Macaca fascicularis: one gene and its partner. The main gene of each other region encodes a partner of the protein of the gene in region 2 in a complex. Links are inferred from orthologs where the notes say so. Each region holds a gene or a part of one and is shown on either strand. Other genes may lie near its edges.

What was found.
Region 1: the proteins of KLB (region 2) and FGF19 are in contact, whole or in part, in a crystal structure (PDB 6NFJ), measured with the Homo sapiens proteins. The link is inferred for Macaca fascicularis from reciprocal best matches to the Homo sapiens genes KLB and FGF19. Residues at the interface, in NP_783864.1 of Homo sapiens: Phe379, Lys380, Val392, Leu394, Trp419, Phe420, Thr421, Asp422, Val425, Thr431, Tyr434, Met435, Asn438, Tyr643, Glu693, Arg696, His743, Asn824, Phe826, Met832, Gln848, Phe849, Leu850, Gln851, Ile853, Leu862, Phe931, Phe942; in NP_005108.1 of Homo sapiens: Leu192, Thr194, Asp195, Ser196, Met197, Pro199, Phe200, Leu202, Val203, Thr204, Ser211, Pro212, Ser213.

What each region holds. Positions count from the first base shown.
Region 1 is NC_088388.1:4,953,829-4,958,063, reverse strand, and holds the start of FGF19 (fibroblast growth factor 19), read right to left. Parts: upstream 2,806-4,235; 5' UTR 2,660-2,805; coding exon 2,428-2,659; intron 2,166-2,427; coding exon 2,062-2,165; intron 1-2,061. UniProt on the Homo sapiens protein: Involved in the suppression of bile acid biosynthesis through down-regulation of CYP7A1 expression, following positive regulation of the JNK and ERK1/2 cascades. Stimulates glucose uptake in adipocytes. Activity requires the presence of KLB and FGFR4.
Region 2 is NC_088379.1:38,693,913-38,698,473, reverse strand, and holds the start of KLB (beta-klotho), read right to left. Parts: upstream 2,866-4,561; 5' UTR 2,775-2,865; coding exon 1,950-2,774; intron 1-1,949.

The DNA of each region.
Region 1 (4,235 bases), on a different chromosome or scaffold from region 2:
CAGGATGGTGAAACCCCATCTCCACTAAAAATACAAAAAAACTAGCTGGGCATGGTGGCACGACGCCTGTAGTCCCAGCTACTTGGGAGGCTGAGGCAGAAGAATTGCTTGAACCCCACAGGTGGAGGTCGCAGTGAGCCGAGATCATGCCACTGCACTCCAGCCTGGGTGACAGAGCGAGCGAGACTCCGTCTCAAAAAAGAAAGAAAGGAAGAGAGAGAGAAAGGAAAGAGAGAGAGAGAGAAAGGAAGGAAGGAAGGAAGGAAGGAAGGAAGGAAGGAAGGAAGGAAGGAAGGAAGGAAGGAAGGAAGGAGGGAGGGAGGGAGGGAGGGAGGGAGGGAGGGAGGGAGGGAGGGAAGGAAGGAAGGAAGGCAGGCAGGCAGGAAGGAAGGAAGGAAGGAAGGAAGGAAGGAAGGAAGGAAGGAAGGAAAGAGAAAGAGAGAGAAAGATCCTCAATCTGTGTTAGACCATGCACAGGGGATCAAGAGGCACAAAGGGGGCTGGGCCCGGTGGCTCACACCTGTAATCCCAGCACTTTGGGAGGCCGAGATGGGCGGATCACTTGAGGTTGGGAGTTCGAGACCAGCCTGGACAACAAGGTGAAACTCCATCTCTACTAAAAATACAAAAATTAGCTGGGCGTGGTGGTGGGCACCTGTAATCCCAGCTCCATGGGAGACTGAGGCAGGAGAAACGCTTGAACCCGGGAGGCACAGGTTGCAGTGAGCCGAGATCGGGTCACTGCATTCCAGCCTGTGGGACAGAGCAAGACTCTGCCAAAAAGAAAAAAAGAAAAAAAAGGCACAAAGGGATTTCAGGTGACCCAACCCCCAATTTGGGCAGAATGGCGGGTTAGGTTGATGTCCCCTGCTGGCCTCCCATCATTAGAAGCACTCCCCCCACCATCATATATGTCAAAATTAAAGTTGCAAGGGTGGGTTTGGAGCGGCTCTGGGTGGGAGTCAGCGTCCAGCGTGCCGACCACCCCGTTTCCCTGCAGTCCTCTCACGCAGGACTCCGCCATAAAACCTGAAACAGGCGCTCTGAGTACACGGAGCACGACAGAAGCACCGAGCAATTTTGAGACTCTTAAAATGCTTTGTCCCGCTGTTCACAAAGGAGCTGGTTGTGCTGGAGGCGGCCCCGCCTCTGCATCCTTTCTGGGGTGGGGGCCCCGGGCAGGCGCGGCCACCCCCGCCCTGGCCCCTGCTCCGCCAGGGAGTCCGGGGCTGCGTGTGAGGCCTGCGCGGGCCGAGACCTCACACAGCCTCCTCTGCGCGCGGGGCCGCGGGAGGGGCGCGGGTTCGTTCCTTTGAACTCCCAGCCTTTGTTCCAGGGCCACCAGAGCCCCAGCGCTCGTACACTTCCGGCCCCGGGACCTCTGCGGTTACCTGGGCCTTCCCAGCCAGCCGCCACCCCCTGCCCCCACCAGAAAGCGTTTACAGGACAGGTGAGGCCCGCAGGAGGAAAAGCACGCCTCTGGCGCAACTTGACTCCAGCGCATCTGCGTCTAAGCCACATCGTGCTCCTGGTAGATTAAAAATTAATTCTAAAAAAACTCGCCTATCCCAAATGCACTGTTTTCTGCCTTGCTGGACAATTGATTTGTTTTTTAAAGGAAAGTTATGGGTAGACCCTCTTTTTTCTTTCCTGTTCTTTTTTTCTTCTTTTTATACTGGAGGGAGGGAAACGGAGGCGAGGACCACACACGCGCAGGCAGAGGCTGAAAAGGCCCGAGGTGGGTTTTCCTGTTTAATATCAAAGGAGGCCGAATAATGGGTTTCCTCGGTCCGGCTGGGCCGGCCTTTGACTCAATTGCAAATGCAAAGGCAGCTTTTGCCTATTCTCTGGCTACTGGCTGAGACCCTAAATTTCAGTAGAAAATCGTCGGACATGCACTTAATCGGTCTTTGCAATCTCCCTCAAAGTTGCACACGGGTCTGGTCGGAGGAGGCGAGAAAACCCTGGATTCGAACCAGCGCCTTTTTCTCCTTCCGGCCTCCGCCCGGGGACAGGCGTTGGTTCCCCGCCCCGGCGCATCCGCCCCGTGGGGACACTTACCAGCCCCTGCATCTTGCCGTCGGCGCCCATGCAGAGGTACCGCACGCTGTGCACGCCCTTGATGGCCACGGTCCGCAGAGCTACTGCCTTGATCTCCAGCAAACCTGGGCGCAGGGAAAGCGAGAAGCTGCAGCCGGGACCCCCGGGGCTCGCACCACGTGGGTGCGGTCGGTCCACGAGCCTGTGCCTCTCCCTAGCGTCCCGCGCCGTTTGGGGACTAAGGGAGGGATCCTAACGCCCAAGTGCCAAAACCTGGGGTTCCCAGGAGTTGAGGGGTCCGCAGGAGCCTAAGGGTGGCAAAGGAAGGAAGGGCGCTGGGGTGGGATGCGCGGGGCGGGGCGGGCGGGGGACCTGGCTGGCACTCACTGTGCGCGCTTTGGCCCCGCGCGCAGTCCACGACGCCGTCGGTGCGGATGCGCAGGAAGCAGCTGGAGAGCCCATGGGGGCCGGAGGTGTACAGGTGCCGCAGGCGGATGGGGTCGCCCCAGCCGTAGTGCACGTGGGGCCCCGCGTCCGAGAAGGCGAGGGGACGCCCGGCCACGGCCAGCCAGAGGCTGGCCAGGATCCAGGCGTGGACCACCACACACCCGCTCCTCATGGCACCTCCCTGGGGCTCTCGGCGCAGTTCCGGCGATGGGGGTGCGGGAGGCTGGGCGGCGACCGGGATGCGCTGCGGGGCTGTGAGTGCCGGATTGGGATGGCCGTGGCCCTCGATCCTGGACGCAGCGCTCCTGCTCCGACGGCGCGGCGGCTCCGGGCCGGCAACCTTATATAGTAGCGCCTTACGGGCCCCGCGGGTAGGTGCCCAAGACACCCGAGCATTTCTTATCGGGATTGCATCAAGCCTCCGCCCCCCGCACACACCCACTCACACCCCGCCTCCGGCCCCAGCCCCCTCCCCGGGCCCGGGCAGGCAGGCGGCGGCTTCTTGTCCCAGCCGGGGTGACCCCGCCCAGGCCGTTCGGATCTGCGGGAGGAGGAGGCCTCGTTTAGCGGCCGGGTTTCGGGGAACTCCTCCCCACCGCGCAGCGGCCCCGAGGTTCTTGGCTGGGAGAGTTTGACTTTGCAAAGCAATCGACAACTGGGGCCCCTCCCCCAGGCGTCGGGCTCCCAGTGGATGCTCTCGGCATGGGGCACCAGCAGGGGCGGGGTCAGGAACCCCGGGGTCAGAGGTTTGGGGGCACCGAGTTTTGCCTCCTTCACCCTCTAGTCGGTAAAAGCCTCACCTCGGCCTTAGGGTCCTTCCCCTTAAAAGGCCACTCGCACTCCCTCCCCCGACTTTCCCAGCCCAGCACATCTGACGTCAAAGCCGTCCAATAGAATTTCCCCCCGCAGTTCCGACCGTCTCAGGTTCTCCCAGCTTCATCTTCTTGCAATTCCTGCCCCGCCCCTTTTATCCGGGTAAATTGCCCCCCGACGGGGGGCCGGGCGCGCTCTCTGCGGGCCGGGAAACAATGGGAGCCGCGCGGACTGTAGGTGGCGCCGCAGCCTCGGCGTCGGCCTCGGCTTTGCGCTCCTGGCCGCGCGCCCCTGCCTGCTCCGCGCTCGCCCCGGCCCCGCGGCTGTGCCCGAGATGCTACCTGAAAGGGGGCACTGGGAAGAAGGCTCTCGGGCAGGGGGTGCGGGCCAGCTGCGGGATTGGTGAACCCCAGCTTCTCGGCTGGAGGGTGATGGAGGCAGAGGCGCAGGGAGGGAGGCCTGGGCCTCCGTTTCCCGGTTTTTGAGCTGTCTTGTGTCGGGGGTCTGGTCCTTCAGTCCCCGAGTCTCTGCGCACGGGGTCAGGGGGAACAGCACGGTCGGGGAGGTCGAGAGCGCCTTACCTGGTGGGGAGGGGTCGGGAAGGGGCCAAGGAACGGTGATGGGCGCCCCTGGCTTCCGGGCATGTGCCAGGTGAGGAAAGAAATAGGGGCCGCTCCATGAAGTGGTTCCTGTAAATAAAGAAAAGGACATCCAGAGAATACCCTGGCGGGGAATAAAGGGGTCCTCCTAGGGGGGTTTGGCTTAACTCTAATTATTTCTTGTTATTCTTCCAAACCCCCAGCTCCTAGATGTGGGGCCCCAGGAGGCTGGTTTTGGGGCAGAGCCCTCCTGGCCCAGCGCAAAGGCGATGGGGAGGGCAAACGGGAGAGACAGCGAGAGAAATGCCAGGCCTAATGAATTTCAATGAGCACAGG
Region 2 (4,561 bases):
CTAGTTAATTTTTGTGTTTTTAGTAGAGAGGGGGTTTCACTATGTTGGCCAGGCTGGTCTCGCGAACTCCTGACCTCGTGATCCACCCACCTCGGCCTCCCAAAGTGCTGGGATTACAGGCATGAGGCACTGCGCCCCGCCCAATCTGATATTTTTAAATGTACATGAGCATGAATTGTTTTAATAATTAAAAGGACTGGCTGAGGTTCACACCTGTAATCCCAGCACTTTGGGAGGCCGAGGCGGGTGGATCATGAGATCCGGAGTTTGAGACCAGCTTGGCCAACATAGTGAAACCCCTCTCTACTAAAAACACAAAAATTAACTGGGCAAGGTGGCACGTGTCTGTAGTCCCAGTTACTCAGGTGGCTGAGGCAGGAGAACTGCTTGAACCTGGGAGGTGGAGGTTGCAGTGAGCCGAGAGCACGCCATTGTACTCCAGCCTGGGTGACAGAATGAGACTTTGTCTCAAAAAAAACCAAAAAAACAAAAAAAAATTAAAAGGACTAAATGAAAGGAATATTTTTCTAACTTTTGCATGCATAATCTTGAGAACTTTTAAATACTTATACAATTTCTCCCCTTTAAGGCCTTATTTTGTCAAATCATAGTATACCCACACATTAATATGTTCTATATACAATTCTAGTCAAAAATGTACAAATGACCTTTAAATCATAATGCAATCTGTTTACTTCAAGGGCAGATGTGTCTGAAACCATAGTACAATGCACATGTGTAATAATCCAGAAAAGTTCAAAAAGAAAAGAAGTGATAGCAGATATTTTTGTATGTACAAATTCAGACATGGAATTATTTTATGTTGCTCTTTTTTAAAATTTCTGTATACTTAGCTTTTGATTATTAATAATTAAATTACTTTTTGTAGCACATTATAAAATTGATAAAAGTTTTTTCATTTTTAAAATGTAACAGGTGTGCAGAATAACTTATTTTTCTTAATTTTAAAACTCTTGAAAATTCCTGAGTCTTCTTTTCAAAACATTCTTAATGAAGACAGTTAGTGTTAATTATGTTGTCATTTAAAAAATCCATGTCCATAACAGCTGTATTTTACTCCTTAACCTTGGGAAAATTATTTAATCTCATTAAGCTTCAGTTTCCTCATCTTTTAAATGGGAAGAATAAGAAGACTAGTTCATAAGGCTGTTAAGAGGATAAGAGGATCAACTGTGACGATGCATGTAAAATACTTAATGTAGTCTGTGGTGCATAATAAGTACTCAGTAAATATTACCTATGATTTTGCTTGCATTTTCACTATTGTTTTACTAATGTTAACATTTCTCAACATAATCTCTAGCTTTTGAAATACACTGCTTGAAAATTGCTTTAGTAGAGCACATTCTTCCCAGTTCTTATGGGAAGAAATGTGTTTAGCTCCCATAACAATTAACCCTCTCTTTTTTGCTATGTAACACAAATAAAATCAAATGTGAAGTACATTTAAATTTCTGTATTTAATATGCATGAGTTAGCTAACATTTATTTAACTTACTTATTTACTTACTTTATTTACTTATTAGCTAAGTTAGCTATCCTTAACAACAAATACATAGTTGAAATGGTTGTGCCTTAACATAATTCTGAAACAATTGCACGTTGTCAGAAAAGGGTTCCAACAATTAAATTTATGAAGCACTGTTTTCCCACAGAATGAAAGTAAGCTCATATTTTCATACTGTAGTGTATGATGGTAGATTTAAAAATAGCCTCAAAGTGCGACTTTTGAAAAAAACTGATTGGATTAATACATTAAAAATAGCTTAGCTAAATAAAACATACACTAACTTAAATACAAAATTTGAGGATAGATCTTGTGAATAGCCTGAAATCAGTTGCCTTGATTTCAATAAGAGAATTACTGAGGCAGAAGGTAAATTGTTAGTGTTTTCTGAAGCTATAATAAGAAGCGAGCTGTACAGTACCTTGATCAAGTTGTGTCCCACAGTGTAGACAGCTGCTAAATTTCCCTTCTCTCCAGGGGCATGCATACCTGTCCCATACCCATGCCAAGCCACTAGATATGGGTTGTGAATTGTAATCCAATATTTGACACGGTCCCCAAACGTCTGGAAACAGTATGTGGCATAGTCATTGAAGATATCTATTATGGTATCATTTTTCCACCCCCCATATTTTTCCTGTAGGGCCAAAGGCAAATCCCAGTGGTATAAAGTAACTATAGGTTCGATGTTTCTAAGCACTAGAGAGTCCAGAAGAGTATTGTAGTACTGGAGACCTTTTGCGTTGGCAACTGTTACTATTCCATCGGGGAAAAGCCTTGGCCAGGAAATTGAAAATTGATAAAAAGAAACTCCTATAAAATCCAGGGCTGATAAGTCTTTTTCCAGAAAAATGTAACTGTCACTGGAACCATTCGTGCTGCTGACATTTTTAAGGTGTGTGTGGACGAAATGATCCCATATAGAAGGTCCTTTTCCATCCTTCTTCCAACTCCCTTCCACTTGCAATGCTCCAGTCCCAACACCCCAGAAAAAGTTTTTAGGGAAAGTGTCATAGAGAAACAGCTGACTTTCATTTACCGGAGTAAAATTAGGATTTTTAGACCATACAGCTCTTCCATCTCCAGAGAATCCAGTAACAGCTCGTAGCAGAGTAAGTGCTGACAGGATGACAGATCTTTGCAGTCCCCCGTTGGACATTGTATTCCTATAGCGTATGGTTATTTCATCAGTGCTGAAGAAAATCCATTCATTCCCTGGAGATCCTGCCGCACAGCCTGGCTTCATTTGCCACCAACTGCTGGACTGTCTTATCAAAGCTTCAGTAAAAGCTTGTGATTGTAAAGCTCTGTCAATGATTAGCTTGAACTGGGAGACTGAGGATGGGTCATAGAGAGCAACGTAATTTGAGGGAGGTGGCCCTATTGCAGTCACCAATGCGTCTCCTTCTCTTTCATTATGGGAAAAATTAGATGAGAATGCATTGGTGACAAGAGTTTAAATGTGTAACTAACACCTATGTAAACACTGAATTACAATCACATTATTTTCTGTGTAGCCTTTCATATTGACCCAAACCTTTTCTGAATGTTTTGAACATTATTGAATAAGGTATATGCCTTTTCTATTTTTACAGTTTTTGTGTGGTAATTTTATAATCTCACCTATCAAGAAAAATAACATATACAAGTATACAGCATTCCTACATACTAATAGTAAGGAATTAGAAAACACAATCAGAAATGACACTTCTCCACAAAATTCTAACACACCTAAGAACAAGCTTAATAAATGTTACCTATTTCAAGAAAATTGTATCGGGAGACTTGAAAAACTTCAATGAGAAAATATAGCACTTTGTGGATGGAAAAATGGAATACTTTACAATTTAATACACTTAACTAAAGTCCTCTAATCTCTAATTTTATTTTTTAATTTTATTTATTTAACTAAAATTCTCCAATCTCTATTTTTTAAATTAACTCATTCATTTTTAACAACAGTCTCGCTTTGTAGCCCAGGCTGGAGTGCAGTGGTGTCATCAGAGCTCACTGCAGCCTCAACTTCCCAGGCTTAAGCAATCCTCCCACCTCAGCCTCCTGAGTAGCTGGGACAACAGGCACATGTCACCATGCCCAGCTGATTTTTGATTTTTTGGTAGAGGTGGGGTCTGGCTACATCCCCCAGGCTGGTCTTGAACTCCTGGGCTCAAACAGCCCTTCTGCCTTGGCCTCCTAAAGTGCTTGAGATTATAGGTGTGAGCCACCATGCCTGGTCTAATCCCAAATTTTAGTTCAAGAAAATTATTATGAGAGGCCAGGCACAGTGGTTCATGGCTATAATCCCATCACTTTGGGAGGCCAATGCAGGCAGATCACTTGAGGTCAGGAGTTCGAGACCAGCTTAGCCAACATGTTGAAACTCCGTCTCTACTAAAAATACAGTTATCTGGGCAAGGTGGCAGGTGCCTGTAATCCCAGCTACTTGGGAAGCTGAGGCAGGAGAATCTCTTGAACCTGGGAGGTGGAGGTTGTAGTGAGCTGAGATTGCACCACTGCACTCCAGCCTGGGCAACAGACCAAGACTCGATCTCAAAATTAAAAAAAAAAAAAGAAAAAAAAGAAAATTGTTATGAAAGTTCACTTGAAGAATAGGCAATATTTGTTTTTAAAAAGGAAAGAAAAACCTGAAAAAGAAGATAGCAAAGGCATAAACAACCTTCAGCATGATTCTGGAATAAATATAAACATACAGAAAGAAATACATGTACCTACAGAAATAAATATTGTGCCGAATCAATAGCCTCCAAATAACCTGTAAAAAATTTAATGTTTTACAGCCTGGGGAACATAGTGAGGCCCGATCTCTACAAAAAAAATTTAAAACCACCTGGGTGTGGTCATGCATGCTGTAGTCCCAGCACTTTAGAAGGCCAAGGTGGGAGGATTGCTTTGAGCCCAGGAGGTCGAGGCTGCAGTGAGCCATGATTGCACCACTGCACTCCAGCCTGGGTGACAGAATGAGACTCTGTCTCAAAAGAAAAAAAAAAAATAATGTTTTAAATATTTGAAGTA